2 linked regions of the Notamacropus eugenii genome follow. The protein of the gene in region 1 purifies or fractionates together with the protein of each later gene. This does not show direct contact. Links are inferred from orthologs where the notes say so. Each region holds a gene or a part of one and is shown in the gene's direction. Other genes may lie near its edges. The genes, in order: LUZP1 and DAPK3.

Region 1 (8,877 bases):
CAAGAAAATATAATGCAATTCAATATAACACAACACAATACATATTTATTAAATACCCATTTTTTGTTGTTGTGTCTGACTCTTTGTGACCCCACTTGGGATTTTCTTGGATACTGGTGTTGTTTGCCATTTCCTTCTCCAGATCATTTTAGGAATTGAGGTAAATGGGTTAAGTGACTTGCCTAGGATCACACAGCTAGGAAGTGTCTGAGGTTGGATTTGAAATCAGGAAGGATTTTGACTCCAGACTAGCACTTTGTACACTATGCCACCCAGTTGCCCCAAGTACCCATTAGGTACATTTATTAAATTCTCATTAGGGTGTGGTGTAGGTCATATTGTAGTTAGTATAGTAAATAGAAAGCTGGCCTTAGAGAATCATGAAGAGAAGGGTTCATGTCTCTTCCTGACACATATTATGTGACCTTGGATAAATCACTTAACTACTCAGAGGCAATTTTAAACTAAATATACATGGCAGTGGTAATGCTTGGTAGTATTTAACCAGAAGCTTTTTCTACACTGATGAAATAGGTCAAAAGTGAAAAATTTACTGGTCTTAGTGCTAAGGACATATGGACAAATACTAAAATGGTTCCTTTCTTTAAGTAACATACCAGTAGCATAAGGAAATTTACCACAGACTTACAGGGGATTGTAACATATACATAGATAAGTAAATATTAGACTGTTTGGGATAGGAACACTTGTTCCTATAACACTTGGGACTATCAAGGGAGGCTTCCCTGAATGGAGGTAGAGATGAGAAGGGAATGTGTTCAGGTCCACAGGAGGACCACTGTCCAAGATATGGAGATGGAGGATGAAATGTCAATTTCAGGCAAAGAGCTAGAACATTGGTTGTTAGAGCTAAATAGGGCTTTAGAACACAGAATTTGAAGAGTAGAAAGGAATCTTGAGATCATTTAGCTGCACCCCTTCTTTTTATATCATCAGAAGGGTGGAATAATTTTGCAAATTAGTGGCAAAGACAGAAACTTGGGTCTTTTGACTCAATCCAGTGTTTTTCCCCTTACATCCTGTTGCCTATCAAAGAAGACAAGGAAGTTTTTGGGGAAAGGGGTATTACTACTGGGGACCAGTGGTATCCCCAAAGAATTGTGATGTGGGCAAACCACACTGTGTGTCACAGAATACTGCCAAGATTACAGATAAATAAAATTGTAATGCTTATGAGTAACTTGGGTGTCTGGATGGTGTTTCTTGGCACTTCTTATAGTGGTGAGGTGATTAGTGAGGAGAGAAGAAATAGAAGATGTGTGGTATTGTTCAATAAAAAGAGTCCCACACTGCAAAACTTAGGTTCAAATCCTGACTGTCGTTAACTCACGAGTGACCTTGGATAAGACATTTCATTTCTCTAGGATTCAGTTTCCTCATCTGTAAAAAGGAGGGTTGGACTATAAAATCTGATACACGTCTCCCAACTCATGAAATTCGTGTTCCAGTGTCTTCTCCTGCTTTGACATTCAGTATGCTGACGTTCTGTTCTAACAATCTGTGTGCTGAAGTCCCGTCCAGCTCTGGCATTCTATATTCTGATGTTTCTTCCATCTTGGGTCTATATGGGGGTGACTATATTTTACTTTTTCTTTCTGCTTTAAAAGAGGACAGAGTGATGTAGTAGAAAGAATGCTGATCTTGGAGTCAAGGAGGGCCCCAGGAGGGCCTGGGTTTTAATCCTGTCTTTGACATTTAGTAGTTTTTTTGTTTTTCAGTCATCTCAGCCTCTTTGTGAATCCAACTGGGGTTTTCTTGGCAGAGGTACTGGAGTGGTTTGCCATTTTCTTCTCCAGTTCATTTTACACATGAAGAAATTTAAGTATACAGGGTGAAGTGACTTGTCCAAAGTCACAAGCCTAGTGTCTGAGGCCAAATTTGAACTTAGGTCTTCCTGACTCCACTGTACCACCTAGATCCCCATTTATTAGCTACTAAATGTATAGGTTGAAGCTCAGAGGGGTTAAGTGACCACAGGCAAATCAACTTAATCTTTCTGATCTCCAGTTTTCTCATTTCTAAAATGGGGATAATCCTTGCCCTCCCTACTTGATACGGCTGTTGTGAGAAAAATGTTTTGCAAACCATAAAATGGTAGAGAAATACAAGTTATTATTAAGATTCCATGCTCTCAATCTCCTTTCTAACTCTGAAATTTAATATTATGAGTGTTGATCTCCAGTACAATTTTGAGAAGGGATCAAATACGATTGGGAGTCTTGGGTGCCCTCCCCTTGTACTTTGTACATCACAATGGGTCCTTTCCAACTCTGACATTGTGAACATTTTAGTACTTCTAAGATTCTAGGAATCAGTATTTATTGGGTTGAATTGAATGACAGACACATGTCGCGCCAGATGGAATTGGAAACTGCAACTCAATAATCCAAGGTCTTACAAAAACTTGGCTAGAAACCTGCTCCCTCTCTGTGATGCCACTGAATAAGTACTAATCCTGATTAGTCCCTAACAGAGATCTCCAGGGTCTGGAGCAGGGGTTGACACATAGCAGGCCTTGTCTTGGCACATAGTAAGCCCTCCCAATAATGCCTACATGCATTCATTAATTTATTAATTCATTCACTGAAAGCTCTCACCTCTCTTTTAAGGTAAGAGTAATTCTCAGACTTCAGGCATTGTGGAATGATCTCCCCCAATACTAGTTACTTTTGTTTCAGGCGTCTGTGTTCATCCCTGCCCTAGCTTCTCCCAGGGGGCAATCATTTTTGTCCATGGGGACCTGGGAAGCTGTCCCAAAGACAGGATCCCAAAGACTTCCCTTTCTTCTTGAAGTCCAGCAGGTCCATGGATGCCCACTGCAGTTCTGGTGGAGGACTGCAGAAGATGCTACGTGCGATTTAAAACATTTTTTTTTTTTTTTGAGAAAGAGGCACGAGTTGTCCACAGGCACCAGGCAGAAATGGGTCAACTTTGCGGCATAGAGCTAACAGGGAGGATCCTGCAGCAGCCACTTACTGACAGGTGTTTGCAGGGATGGAAAAATACTGACCATGAGAATGGGCCATCATCAGTTAACAGTCAGTCAACTATTCTGTTGATGAAACACGTAAAAATTGCTTTCTATGAGCAAAGCAAAAAAGAGGCTGAGAGTCGGGAAAAACTGGGTCCCAGAACTGCCTCGGACCCAAATTGTCTGGGTGACCCTGGGCAATCCATTTAACACCCCTCCCCCACCCCTACTTTAGAGGGCCTCCCCTCTCATGCTGTCTAAAACCATAAACTGCAGACACTGGTGGATAAGCAGGAGTAAAGGGAGTTTTCCCCACTTGGTGTCTCTAAACCAATGAAATCACAGATCTTGACCAAAGGAAAAAAAAAATAATGTGCAAAGTACTCAGGGGGGTCAGATAGCTCCCAGGGCTCGAAGTTTAGCGGAAAAAAAAAAAAAAGGACTTGAAATATTTCGGATGTAGTGGAAAGAGCACAGATTGGAGTTAGAAGACGCCGGTTCGAATCTCATCAAGCTTCCGATTCCTCACCAGGAAAAGGACGGGGCTGGGCTAGATAGCCTTCCAAGTCAAGTCAACGAGTATTTATTGAGCCCCTACTAAGTGCCAGGCACTGATACAAAGAAAGGCTGCTTTCACGGAGCTTCCAGTCTCATGGGGGAAACGACCTAACAACTACGTACAAACAATGTATACAGGCTGTCCCAAAAGTCTTGGTGCAGTTTTAAATTATTGGACCTTCCCAGAAAAGAGACTGATAGAAAGGAGACTCGAATGAGAAACCCGCAGGTGAAAAGCTTAATATCTACAGGATAAACCTATGATCCTATGACATTGATTAGCTGCGTGACCTTGGGCAAGTCATTTAGTCTCTTGGTGCCTCAGTTTCCCCACCTGTAATATGGGGCCAGGGTCTTTGAAGCTGCTAATCTAAGATTCTAAGACGTCCGGTGGCGAGCGCTGTACCTCTCTGGTCTTCAGTTTCCTACTACAGGGAATGAGGGGGTTGGGCTAGAAGCGCTCGGAGGTGCCCGGTTTAGCTCTGAATTCCGCAGCCAATCCCAGGGCTCCCGCACTTCCCTCCCTCCCTCCGCGCTCCTTCTCCCCGCGCAGCCCAGGTGCTTACCTATGGGTGGCGGGAGTGACTGTTTCACTGGACTACACCTAAGTCCAGACTTGCCCTGGGGGGGAGGGGTGGATAAGCCTAGGGGGGAGGGGAAGGGTGGTGGGAGGAGGGAGGAGAGGTGAGGAGCTATGGAGGGGGAGTCCTGGAGGGGGAGTCCTGGAGGGGAGGAAGGAGAAGAGGGGCAGGGGGAAGGGGACCTCCTCCTCCTCCTCCCTCTGCTCCCCTCCCCCTCCCCCTGGGCCCGCCCCCGGCCCGGCGCTGACGTCAGCTGCGGCCCGCCCCTCATTGTCAGTCCCGTGGAGCTAGAGCTGCCGGCCGCCCGGAGGAGCCCAGCGCGGGGAGCCTCCGCAGCGCGGGCGGGCCGGGCCGGGGCCGGGGCCGCAGCCGCCCAGGTGAGAACGGGGCCCCGGGGAGGGCGCGGGAGCCCGAGGCAGGGACCTCCGACCGGGCCGGGCAGCCCGGGACCCGGGGATCTAGCCCGGGAAGAAGGAGCCCGGGCGGGCGCGTGGGGCACTCGCGGAGGGCGCCGAGCCTCCCTGGCCGCCGGGCTGCGCCACCTGGGCCGGAGCTCGGGCTGACAGTGCGGGCGGGTGAGTGAGGGGCGAGAGCCCCCCGGAGCCGTGCGGGGAGGGGGCGTCCGGGGGGCGCAAGCGTGTGAGTGACAGGCTGCGGGGGTGGAAGGGGCCGACGTGGTGGGCTTGATCATCCCGGGAAAGAGACTGATTGCGAGGAGACTCCAAGGAGAAATCTGGAGAAGGTGAAAAGCCGAGGAGGGCTGGGGGAGGGGGAGAATCCGAGGGGAGGAGGGGAGGTGCGGAGGTGAGGAGAGGACAGTCTGAGATGGAGGCAGAGAACCTGAGCGGAGAAGTGAGGAGGGGGCAATCTGAGAACTTAGGAGAGGTGAGGAGGGGAGAATCAGTGGAGAGAGAGGTCCGTCTGGGCGGGGAGTAAAAATCAGGAGAATGAGTGGAAGGTGGGAGTGGGAATCCAGGGAATCCAGGGGCTTGGGGCGGGAAAAGGAAGCCTAAAGGATTTGAGGGCGCGGTGGTGGTGGGGTCCCCCATCGTGTATGGGGGGAAGGCTGTACGAGGAGGAGGGAGAACCCCGAGAGGAAGGAAGTGATCATACAGGAAAAGCCCGGGAGATCGAGGAGGGGAGGGCAGAGTTTGGGAATGGGGAAAGGACAGGAACAGGAATTGGGGGTGGGAAGGAGGCCTGGCGGGTCCGAAGAGAATCCCTACTCCCCGCCCTGGGAGGGGTGAGGGGAGGTCAGAGGGAAAGGAAAGGAAGGGAAGGGAGTGGAGAGGAGAGAAGAAGAGAGGAGAGGAGAAGAGTGCAGTTGAGTTGAGTTCTGTGGCTGGAGCAGCAGCAGCTGTCTGCCCTGCCCGCTGTCCCAGGCGATGCTGGTTTTCGGCTTAGACCAATGGGCTGAGAAGGAATTTGAGGCATTTGCTTTGTTTAAGTTGCCAGTAGACAGTCCTTAAAACTAATTAATTGTGGAATCTGAAAGGAAATGCGGGGAGAGCTCGGGGAAGGGGCTAATTACCAAGCCGGGCGCCTGGGGAGGAGGCCGTGCCTTCCTTGGGGGAGCACCGCCCCCTCCCCCCCACCCCCCAGCCCCAAGTCACATTAAACTTTTCCGCAGAGTGTGCGGCTTGTCTGCCTGCCTCCTTCCTTCCCTCCTTCCCTCCCTCGGCTTCCCAGAGGAGATCTGTGCCGATCTCCCCACAGAAACCCAGAGGAGAATCCTGGCTTCCAGAAGTACTGCCATGAACTGTGGTTTTGAGAGTGAGTGTCCTTTTCCAGAGAAGGGAGGGCGTCTTCAGGGAGTCTCATGTCCTTGGGAGTGAGTATTCCAGGTCATGGGCCCCTCTTAACAGTCGCTCTGGTATCTTGCGGTCCCGGTTAATGGCTTGAGTATGCAAGCCAAGGAGGATCGGCTAGCCCTGGAGCCTTTCTTCCTCACGTCAGACCCTTTCCCGATGCCCCGGGAGCAGCGTTACGTATTGTCTCAGCAATGCCGGAGCCGGTTCTCACACTCTGGGGGTAGACACCCCCAAAGAGGAAGCGTCCTAGACTAGGGACTAGATACACTGACCTACCATGCTAGTCCCACCTCCCCTGACTCACTCGGTGACCTTGGGGGAAGGGACTTGTGCTGTCTTATCTGACAATTGAGGATGATACTCCCAGGTCCTCCCAGCCTCGTGGGGATGTTATGAGGGGCGGTGTCTCTCTGAGGTACATTTCTTTTACCAACTGACTGCTGCTCAGTTCTAATTAGCTGGCCTGGTATGAGAACTGAGGACTTCAAGTCCTCCTATGAGTTGTCTCTACCATCTGACAACAGCGGACCATCGAGTAGAGATTTTAGATCTGCTAGGAACCTTTGAGATCATGTAATCTCACTCTTTCATTTTTTGTTGTTCAATCCGTTCGGGTCCTGCCCAGCTCTCTCCCTGGCCCCATTTGGGATTTTCTTGGCAAAGATACTGGTTTTGCCATTTCCTTCTCCAGCTCATTTTACAGATGAGGAAACCGAGGCAAACAGGGTTGAGTGACTTGCCCAGGGTCACACAGCTAGGAAGTGTCTGAAAGGGCATTTGAACTAAGGTCTTCCTCACTCCAGGCCACCAAGCTGGCCCTCTCATTTTACAGAAAGGGAAACTGAGGTCCTGGGGGAAAGGAAGTGACTTACCCAGGGTCACACAGCTAATGTCAGAAGTTGAAACCCTACCTCTGACAGATCCAGTGCTCTTTTCACTGCACTATTTTCTGTGGGAGAATATGAGCTGTCATACTTTGCAAACACACCTTTCCATCACCCCTTTGCTGGAGTGGAGTGTTTTGAATGGCTAAGTGAAGTAACCAAGTAGAAAATTCTTCTGTCAGAAATAATTATTTTGGTTAGAATTTCCCCTCAGGGCAGATATGTTTTTGATCACTTTGTTTTGTGGAATTTTCCAAGTTTCTAAAATTAAACTATTTTCCTAAACATTGTAAGAAAATCTATTTGAGCAAACTGAGAGTAGTTTGTTGGGGGAGGGGTCGGTGGGAAGTTGGGGGCATGAGTAAACCAGCAGAAATCTAAGTGTTCTGGATTGTTTCAATTTCTCAAATACTTTGCACTTTTCTTATTTGTATATTTGTATATATGTCTGATCAACCCTACTAAGTTGTTTGAAGATAGGGTGCATGTTCTTATCATATCCTCCTCCCCAGTGACTAATATATTACACATAGTAGGCACTTAGCAAATATTTATTAAATAAAAGCATGAGCAGTTTTCTTAGAATTAGAGGATGTTAGAGCTGTCAAGGACCTTAGAAGGAAGGAGGAAGTAAACATTTCTTAAATACTTTGGTCATGTAATGAAAAGATGAGACTCATTGGAAAAGACCCTGATGTTGGGAAAGATTGACGGCAAAAGGAAAATGGGACAAAAGAGGAGGAGATGAATAGTGTCATGGATACAATAAACATTAGTTTTGACAGTCTTTGGGAGATAATGGAGAACAGAAGGGACTCTTTACTGTGGTCCACGGGATCATGAAGAATCAGACAGGACTGAATGACTGAACAACCTATGCCGGGTGCTGTGTTAATTGCTTTTACAGATATTATCTCGTTTGATCCAAGAGATTATCTAGTTCCGCATTATTGTTTTACAGATGAGGAAACTGAGGCCTATGGACTTGAATTGACTTGCCCAAGGTCACACAGATTTCACCCTACTTCTGACTCCAGGGTTTTTTTTTCCCCTGATACACTTAAGCTTTATTATTTTGACTGAGCTTTCTTTAGTTCTTAGAAGTTAACTTTTCCCCATTATTTTGACCTAACTGAAAAAACACTCTCTGGAAATAAAGCGACCTGGATTCTAGTGCTAGCTTTGATGTGGAGAAACTCTGTGAACCAAGGCTGTCACTTAAGTCACTCTTTAGAAAAGGGGGATACAGACGCATACCATTGTTTCATGGTAGTGTTGCCAGAATCCACAAAACAAGAGTTTATTAGGTTGTTGCTATGTGTTGGTGTCATAGATTTAGGTCTGGAAGTGATTTTAGAGGATCTATGCAGAGTACCACAAGAAAAACCTGCCCCCACTGAACTGACATCCTACTAGGGGAAATCTACCAGAAAATGTTTTTTTGTTTTGTTTTTTTTTGTTGAGGGCTTGATGGTTTTGAGTTTGGGGCCTTATAGGCAACATAGAAATTGATGGTGGTACATAGTAGGCACTTTTTATAATGACTGGTGATGCTGGTGGTATTCCTCAGACGAAAATGTTGAGAGCTGGAGAGTTCCTATTGTGGTCAGGGGGTGTGGATCAGTGGTTGTGGGAAGATAGGTGGTGTCAAACTGTCTTCTCTTGTAGAAGCCCTCTCTGTGATATTCAGGAACAGAAAGTGAATACTTCCTGATGTTAGGTACCTCTGGGAGCTTTTAAGGCAGTTCGATAAAGATAAGATACATATCCAGGTTAAGACATAGGCTGCCAATCCCTAACCCAAAGTGGTGGTGCAGCGTTAACTATTCCTAATAAACTTTGATTTGCATTTTTAACATGTTTTGTTTAGGGGAGGGCCTTTTATTTTGTGTATATTTGGGGGCAGGGCCCTTTTGGTTGGGATTTTTGTTGGTGCCTGAGGCTTTTATGAAATTTACAGTTAGAAGAGACTCCATTGCCCCTGTTTGATCACATTGAGAGATTACTGAAGTGACCTGATCAAGGCAGGAAAAAGTAAGAGCTCTACATTT
Region 2 (8,877 bases), on another chromosome or scaffold:
CAGGCTGTACATGAAGGCCCGGCCCTTCCCTGATGGCCTGGCTGAAGATATTGACAAAGGCGAAGTTTCTGCCCGTCAGGAGCTCAAGCAAAGGGCTCGGTACCTGGCTGAGAAGTATGAGTGGGATGTGACTGAGGCCCGTAAAATCTGGTGCTTTGGCCCTGATGGAACTGGGCCCAATGTTCTCACAGATATCACCAAGGGAGTACAGTACCTTAATGAGATCAAGGACAGCGTGGTGGCTGGATTCCAGTGGGCTACCAAGGAGGTAGATAGCTTTAAAATAAATGCTGGGATATTGTATACTGGTTATTCAGCTTTAATTCTGTTAGCACTTAATTTGGGGACTGTTGAGGTTCTAAAGCAGATGAATTATACCTTGTATGTAAGGTCCATAATTACATTTTGGATTTTTTCCCCCTTTAGGGAGCACTATGTGAAGAGAATATGCGGGCAGTCCGTTTTGATGTACATGATGTGACCCTGCATGCTGATGCCATTCACCGTGGTGGTGGCCAAATCATCCCCACAGCCCGGCGCTGCCTTTATGCCTGTGTGTTGACTGCTCAGCCCCGTCTTATGGAACCTATCTATCTTGTGGAGATTCAGGTAAGAAATATGCTATGCTACTTGAGATGTCTTGGGGGAAAAAAAAGCTCTTGGTTGCTCTGACTTCATCTTCGCTACACTGTCATGTAATGTTAACTTTTTAAAAATTCCATTTAGTGTCCAGAACAAGTGGTTGGGGGCATTTATGGTGTCCTGAACAGGAAGCGAGGGCATGTGTTTGAGGAATCCCAGGTTGCTGGCACCCCCATGTTTGTTGTGAAAGCCTATCTGCCTGTCAATGAATCTTTTGGTAAGTACTTAGAGTAATAAGACCTTTCAATAAAGAAGGCATACTAACTTGTGTTTCAGACTTTAGTTCTGTGGCCTTGATCTTATTTTCTTTTCTCATTGGTGCTTGTGAAGATCAAATGAGTTTTGATGATTGTGGAAAGTAGTATACAGTGGTTTATAGACGATGTTGGTTAGGTCATTGTAACGAAAACTTACTTTAGAAAAATTTTTGGTGGGGGAGATACTTTTCAGTGTTGCAGATCGGTCATTTTTATGTTTAAGGTGATGTTGGTACTTTTCGTTTGAATTTTAAACTTTTCCCTTTCTTATCCTTTCCCTTCTCGTCTAGGCTTCACAGCTGACTTGAGGTCTAATACAGGTGGCCAAGCCTTCCCTCAATGTGTATTTGACCATTGGCAGATCCTGCCTGGAGACCCCTTTGACAACACTAGCCGCCCTTGCCAAGTTGTGGCAGAGACCCGCAAACGCAAAGGGCTGAAGGAAGGTATCCCAGCCCTGGACAACTTCCTGGACAAATTGTAAAAGCTCTTTCCAACATCAGTTCAGACTCCTGTTGGACTCTAGCATAACACCAATGCAGCAAATTGTTAAAACTGCAATGACATCTCTTTGCATATACTTAATCAGTTCATAGCAACTTGAGACTTTCAAAACACATTGATATTCAGCCTTATAGGTTTCTGTGTTGCACATGACACATTTGGGGCCCACTCGGTGCCATAACTTGAAACATTTCCACTTGATGCAACTTGAGTTGCCTGTTTCCATATTTATTCAAGTCTTCAAAGAGGTAGAAAAAGTGTCCTCTTTGCAGGGTATATTTGGCCAAGGGGGGGTGGGTTGGGATAGGTAATGTTTTTTTCATTTTTCAAAGGGAAACATAGTGCCCCCCCAAATTTCAAGAGTGCATTAAGAGGTTTTGCTTGGGTAAATGGCCTGTAGTGGATCTTCAGGAATGGTGAGGGGAATGTTAAGGAGATATTTTCTAGTTGGCCAGAAACTAGAAGGCAAGAAAATTTTGTGCAGTGTGATTGTCATCATGAACATCTACAGATGTATTAGTGCCATTGGAATAATAAATTTGATATGGTGATGAATATCAATAACAGTGTTGAAGTGATTCATTCCAGGTATGGGGTTGTCTTTTACTTCTGGGTACCACTCTTCATGTGGTTTCTCAGCAAGTTAACTTAGGATCCAGTTAATTACCAAGTGCTTTTTTCCTGCATTTAGATTTCAACAACTCATTTGGTAGTGATTTTGAACCATACAAGCTCAACATTTGGTTAATGGGCATTTATTGAAAACCTAAGTATTGGAGAAATAACTGCATTTACTGCTGGGGATTATGAATGGATTTTTTTTTTTTTTTTGGTGCTAAAGTAAAGTCCATCCTTGGCATATGTGGTTTGATTGTATTTGTGTGAAACATCCAAAATATGATCAGCCCAGGTTTGCTGTCCTCCACAGATTATATATTTTACTTCCCATGATACATTCTCCCAGAATCTTAACAGTATTTGGCTTTCCTTGCTGCAATTTGAGATTGTGGCCTGGATAAATCTGTAATACACTGGAATATGAACTGGTAGCTGAAATTGTCTTACTCTGTAAGAATGGTAGCTAGAGATCCTTGCTGTTGCATTCCTGAAGTGGTAAGGGTGTTTTGAATGTGGAGTAGCACTTAGAAAGGGGGTTCAGCCAGAAAGTTGACTTGGCTGCAAAAGAGGGAACAATTAGTTTCCCTCAGGAGAAAAAGCTAGGATCTGTAGAAGGCCTCAGCTGCTTTAGACTTAGCTCTTGGACATCGTTTTCTAAAAGAGTTTTTACTCAGCTTTCACAGGTTTGCTAAAATGCCCGTTGTACCCCATGTGTGATTTGCTTCAAGTGCATTTAACTAAATGAAAAGAATGCCTTAAAAGCCCAGTTCAGTCCTTTACATTTCAAACATTGCTAAAACTAGTACTTCAGATTTTCTTGTTAAGAGTTTGGAAGATCACAATGCAATAAGTATTTTGAGCTGTGACTAAAACTTAATTCTGGTGATATTTATACAAGCCTTTGGGTGGTGCATATACTATCGAACTACTGGGAAAGGGAAATGTGGAGGCAATTGTATGACATTCTGAGTTTGTAAACTTGATTGTACTTGACAACTTGAAATTATTTAATATGCCAGGATGAGATGAGAGTAGCTGTTGTCTGCTTGTATTATCTCCGTGATAATCTCATGGGATCCTTTCTCTACTCACATCGCCATCCTACTTACACATTCACTTTCTCACGTGGACTGCAGTAGACTGAATTTCCCTGAAATTCCTGAAGCGCACATCTGACCAAGAACTACGTGAACTCTACCCTGAACTCTAGCACCAATCAATCAACATTTCCAGCTTCAAACATTCCCTACGTTTTGTGGTCCAAATTCTGCCTAGCTGTGTGTCCCAGTTTGCCTCCGTTTCCTTTTCTGTAAAGTGAGCCGGAGAAGGAAATGGCAAACCCCTCCAGGATCTTTGCCGAGAAAGTCCCATTTGGGATGTTGAGGAGTCAGACTCGACTCAACAGAGCGACACGCTGCCGCATTAAAGGGACGTGGCTCAGTCCAACTAAACTGCACGCATGAAGTGTACACGCAGGTGTAACAGTCGTGGTGACAGCCGCAGCTGGAGCATCAGCGAGGTCCGATCTGAACTCGGGTCGTGCTGACTCCAGGCCCAGCGCTGTACCCGCTACACCACTACCGTCCAGTCTGAGGGTGCCCGCCTCTGGCCGGTCGCCATCTCCCCCACGGTCTCCGAGGGCCTTCAGCTCTGGCTCTAAACCGCTGGGTTGGGACGCCTGGGAATCTTCCCCAGTCACTTCCCCACCCTGGTCTTCATAAGGGCGAGAAACAAAGCTTTTCAAGGTCGCTTGATCTGAGTTTTCTAACTCTCCATAAAATCCTCTCAAGACAAAGCACTTAGAGAAACGCCCGCCAGCCATTACGTAGAAAAACTGCACGGGCCTGCACGGAGGAGAGAAGGAAAACAAACCCCAGCTTTTGGAGCCAAAGCCCCGGCTCCGCACTCGTAGGGAGAACTAGGAACCGGAAACTAGTCTTTCTTCCTCCGCCTCTCTAACTTGCACCGGCAAGAGCCAATCAGTTTCTTTTCCAACACGGCCTTGTCCCGCCCTTCTTCCCCTCCGCCCTCTAGGGCCAAGCAACTCAGAGACCAACAGCGGAGGCCCCTCCTCCCTCCCCTCCCCCCCGCCCGGCTCTCGTGGGCGGGGCTTTCTCGCAAAAGTTTCTCGGGCCTGGTTGGCAGGGGAGAGAGGGAAAGAGAATGACAGCGCGCTGTGGGCGGGGGAACGTCGGAGCGCGATGACGTTACCGAGACGGGACAGAGGATAGGCCAATGGGGGCCGGCGCGGTGACGACAGAGCATGTCGGAATGCTGCGGCGGCGCTGACCGGGTGCTGAGGTAAGCGCCGGGGCTGGCTGCAGTCTCGCCTTCCCTTCTTAGACCCTTGACGGGACGCCGGCGGCGCGGGGCCTGAGGTAGGAGGCGGGGGAGGCCTGCGGGCCGGGGAGGGCAGTGCGGGGACCGTTGTGTCGTTTGGGGGAGGTCCCCGCGGGGGTCACCGAGGGGCTCGGAGGAGAATGGAGGTGAGGGGGCCTCGGCGGGGCGCGGGGCCCGAAGCTGAGCCGGGCGGGCAGGCCTTGGAGGAGCAGGCCAGGCCGGGGAGGGGAGACGGGATGGGTGGAAGGCTGTCCTTGGCCCCGGGTTGTCGTGGAGCGTTTAAGGGGTGAGGGATTGAGGGGACTGTCCTGGCCGGGCGTGGGTGCCAGGGAGGGTTGGGGGGAGGGACGTACAGCATCCCCAGCCCCTCTAGCCCCACCCCGTTAGGCTCCTAACTCCTGGAAGGCTTGTCCTCCTTTAGGCCGCTCTGCCCGGTGCTGCAGCCCGTCTCTCCCAGGCCTGCTTTGTCCTCCTTGTCCTCCTGCGGCCGTTTGCGCGTCTTTTGGAGGCTGGCCTGCAGCCATGTCCACGTTCAGGCAGGAGGATGTGGAAGACCACTATGAGATGGGCGAGGAGCTGGGCAGGTAAGAGTCTAGGGCAGGGAGAGAGGGCTGATAATGGGGGAGAGCGAGCAAACATGAAAGTGGACTTCTGCTTCCTTCTCCTCATTCAGGGAGACGGGTTAACAGATGACAGGTTAATGTTACCTTTTATCCTTTGTCATAGAAAGACTAAGGAAGTTTGAAAAAAGTTGAGTTTCTTGTGCCATTGTCACCAATTCCAGCTGCTTTCATTTTTTTTTTTTGTGAGAAAAGTTTAAATCCCCTGACTCAACAAAGTAGATAATTTCCTGTAAATCTGTATACTTGGTTAGTCCTAAAGTCTCCACTCTCCCACGGAGCCTCAAACCTTATATGGTGAGTTTTGTTCAGCCATCTCTCTCCTAGTGCCGCCTATAGGCCAATCCGATGATGTCACCAGATAAAAATGTAAATAACTGAGTATTGTATGTGGGTTCGGCTGAAAAGAGTTTCTTCCCACCGCATGGGCCTCTTTGTTCCTTTAAAATCATACTCTGCTTTTGGAATTTCCTCAAGTTGAGGCATGTAGGTTAGTAGGATGAAAGTAACAAGGTAATTCTTATAATAGTAGCTCACATTAAGTAGGACTTTAAGGTTTATAAAACACCTTCCTTACAATAAATAGCCTTAGAAAGTAGGTAGTGTCTAATCTGTAATGAGAAGACTGAAACTTAGAAAAATGAAGTGACTTGCCTATGGTTACATTTTTTTAGAACTGAGATTTGAACTCAAATTACTTAATACTATGTTGCCTGATTTTTTTGGATTTCTCACGTAGCTGAGGAATATTGAGCACTTACTGTGAGCTCAACTTTGTGCTTTTTTGTTGGAGATATAGGAGGAGTGTAAGGTGTAATTCTGGACCTTGTGGCTGCTAAATACTTGCTGGCTGGCTTAATGGGGTTTGTTTTTAAAGTATAACTGGAAAGACAAACGTTAAAGGAAACAACAGAAATGAATGAGAATTTGTGTGGTACCAACTCTCAGGAAAATAGAGGAGTTTGGAGAAGGGAAAGAGAATGGTTTAGCATGATCAGGATAGACTTCTTGGAGGAGATGGGATTTTATTGAGGCCTTAAAGAATGGGTAGGTAGGCTTTGGAGAGGTAGAAGAGTGAGTGGGGCATTCCATGTGGGGGTTGAGGAAGAACCGAGGCTAAGAGTCTGGAATGAGCTTGGTGTCGTCAGTGTAGTAATGAGAAAGACTTGACTGAGTGGGTAGTTGCTGTTGGTAAGGGCAATAAAGCTGGGGTTTTTTTTTCAGGGAAGTTAGATAACAATAGATAGGTAGATCAGGGCCTGATTAAGAAATACTTTGCACTCCTGTTCTTTTATGACTTCTGCTTTATGTTTTTTTGATTTGCATAGTTTTTTTATTACCTATTTTCTTACCTGGAAGGTCATCCAACTGCGTTTCTTTCCACTTTCTGGCTATACTGCCTCATAAACACCAGTTGGGAAATTAAGGGAACAATATCCAACCCTCTATATATACTACCCAAAGGAAATCTGGTGACAGTGTATGAATGTGTTCTGAGTATGAGGACATCTGAACCTAATCCTATAGAATCATTATTTTCAGGGACCAACCCAAAATTGGCTTATTCAAGCCCTTTTCCCATAGCTGAGTTATGCTATCATAGGCCTATCTTAGTTCTGGCAGCTGCTGTTTTCATTCTTTCCTAGAGTTAGTAGCCTTCCACACCTTATTGGAGATTGTATCTCTGGAAGAATCCCAGCTATCTGCAGGTGTCTTGGGTGCTTTGTCCATTGTTGTGGGAGAAACATTTATGGAGTCTGAACACAAGTCTTCTCACCTGAGACATCTAGGAGGAATAAAGAAGGCTACCTCTGCTTTTCTAAGAGCTTTTCTCTTTTCTCTCTTTCCCTTCATATTTTCCCTTATCTTGCATCTTCCCTGAACTCTGTACAGTGGGCAGTTTGCAATTGTGCGGAAATGCCGTCAGAAGAGTAATGGGATGGAGTATGCAGCCAAGTTCATCAAGAAGAGGCGATTGTCATCGAGTCGTCGGGGGGTGAGCCGGGAGGAGATAGAGAGGGAGGTGGACATTCTTCGGGAGATCCAGCACCCTAACATCATTACCCTCCATGACATCTTTGAGAACAAGACAGATGTAGTGCTGATCTTGGAGCTGGTTTCTGGGGGTGAGCTCTTTGATTTCTTGGCTGAGAAGGAGTCTCTAACTGAGGAAGAGGCGACCCAGTTTCTTAAGCAGATCCTTGATGGTGTCCATTATCTGCACTCCAAGCGGATTGCCCACTTTGACTTAAAGGTGAGCCCTGCTTTCCTGCCTTACCTTTCCTTGGACTTTTAAAGGGATAGAGAACAGCCTTCTCTGGCCATTCTGTTCTTTCTTGAACTTGGTGTAAAGAAGGCCTTGGTTTGAATACTGCCTCTGCACGTAGAAGCTGTGTGACTCTGGGTAAGTCACTTAACCTCTCAGCCTCAGTTTCCTCATTTGTAAGAGGAATGGGTTGAACTCGATGGCCCCTAAGGTCTAAACACTTAAGTCTGTAATCATATGATCCTCTTGTTTCTGGCCCTGAGAATTCTGGCCAGTTCTAGAAATGATGCTTTGCCCAGTATTCTTGCTTCTTCAGCCCCTTCCTTGTTTCCTTTTATGGAGAGGAGTTAATTTGAGTATTTAAGCCCCTATTTGTTGTTCCATTTTTCTGCTTTTCTTTCATCTTGGGCTTTGGGCCTTTCTAGTTTGTTGCTTTTTGTAAAACTGTTCAAATGCAGTTTTTTCTTTTCTGCAACAGCTGCCATTCAGTTCTTGGTCTGTTCTGGGAGGGTTAGATGGCTTTCTAACATAAGCTCATGATTTTTTTTCTAATTTGGAGCATATTTGACAATAATTGTTGCACTAGATTTATCCTTAAACCCTACAAAGGATTTAAACCCTGATTTTCTTCCCTTTCTTACAGCCAGAGAACATCATGCTTCTGGATAAGAATGTGCCCAACCCTCGAATCAAGCTAATTGATTTTGGCATTGCCCACAAAATTGAGGCAGGGAATGAATTCAAGAACATCTTTGGAACCCCGGAGTTCGTAGGTAAGTGGCCATACTATGTAGTAGAGGTGATAGGGTCCTGAGTTCTGGGAAGAGGACTATGTTGAACATTTAAGGACTCCCAGTTGAATAAGTTGCTTTTTCTGGCAAAGGGAGAGGCTAAGAATGCTGGCTGCAGCATCTCTTACAACCCAAGTATGCCTGGCTTTCCTTACCACAAAGCCTTCTGGATTGCAACCACCTATTTCTCTGTTTGTCACGTTATCCTCTCTTTTGGGCATATAGAAACTCAAGTGCCCAAATTGTGTCTTGTTAGGTCAGTGCCCAAACTGACTTAACATTGTTTCATGTTAGGATATTTATACTAGAGTTGATCTTTTACAAAGTAGGACTGATCCAACTTCTCTTCCTATCTCTCCTAAAGCTCCTGAGATTGTGAACTATGAGCCCCTGGGTCTGGAGGCAGATATGTGGTGAGTGAGAGGAGGTGATGTGTTAGGCTCCCCTGATAACCTTCAGTTCCCCAGCAGTTTGGCTAGGATTCAGTTTCCCAATGGAAAAATATCTGAAATTATTGTTTCTCTTAGTATGACAGGTGAGGCAGCTTTTTTTTAATATAGTGTCTCTCATTCCTTTTTACACACATCTCTTAAAGGAATGGGAATGATCAGACCAGTCCCTACCTCTAACAGCCTTATGAGGCTCAAGGCTAAGGCAGGGAAACAGATTGACTTGTTCCTATGACTTCTTCCCTCACTTGAAACATTAAAACCCAGTGGTAGGGATGGGATGTAGGTCTGCCATTGATCTTTTGCTCTCTTCTCCCTCCTTCTTCCTTTCTCCAGCTAGTCTCCCTGATTTAATGCATCATGTTTCCTAGAAGGAGCCTATATTTAGTC

What was found.
Region 2: the proteins of LUZP1 (region 1) and DAPK3 purify together in Homo sapiens (affinity purification with mass spectrometry; 3 studies listed by BioGRID and IntAct, with this or other methods). This does not show direct contact. The link is inferred for Notamacropus eugenii from reciprocal best matches to the Homo sapiens genes LUZP1 and DAPK3.

The regions. Positions count from the first base shown.
Region 1 is NC_092876.1:63,559,784-63,568,660, reverse strand, and holds the start of LUZP1 (leucine zipper protein 1), read left to right. Parts: upstream 1-4,400; 5' UTR 4,401-4,508; intron 4,509-8,877.
Region 2 is NC_092875.1:71,133,826-71,142,702, reverse strand, and holds the start of DAPK3 (death-associated protein kinase 3), read left to right. Parts: upstream 1-4,250; 5' UTR 4,251-4,399; intron 4,400-4,782; 5' UTR 4,783-4,883; coding exon 4,884-4,945; intron 4,946-6,874; coding exon 6,875-7,235; intron 7,236-7,890; coding exon 7,891-8,020; intron 8,021-8,402; coding exon 8,403-8,451; intron 8,452-8,877. Other genes in the region: EEF2 (elongation factor 2), read left to right, coding at 1-268, 427-609, 727-859, 1,190-1,383. UniProt on the Homo sapiens protein: Serine/threonine kinase which is involved in the regulation of apoptosis, autophagy, transcription, translation and actin cytoskeleton reorganization. Involved in the regulation of smooth muscle contraction.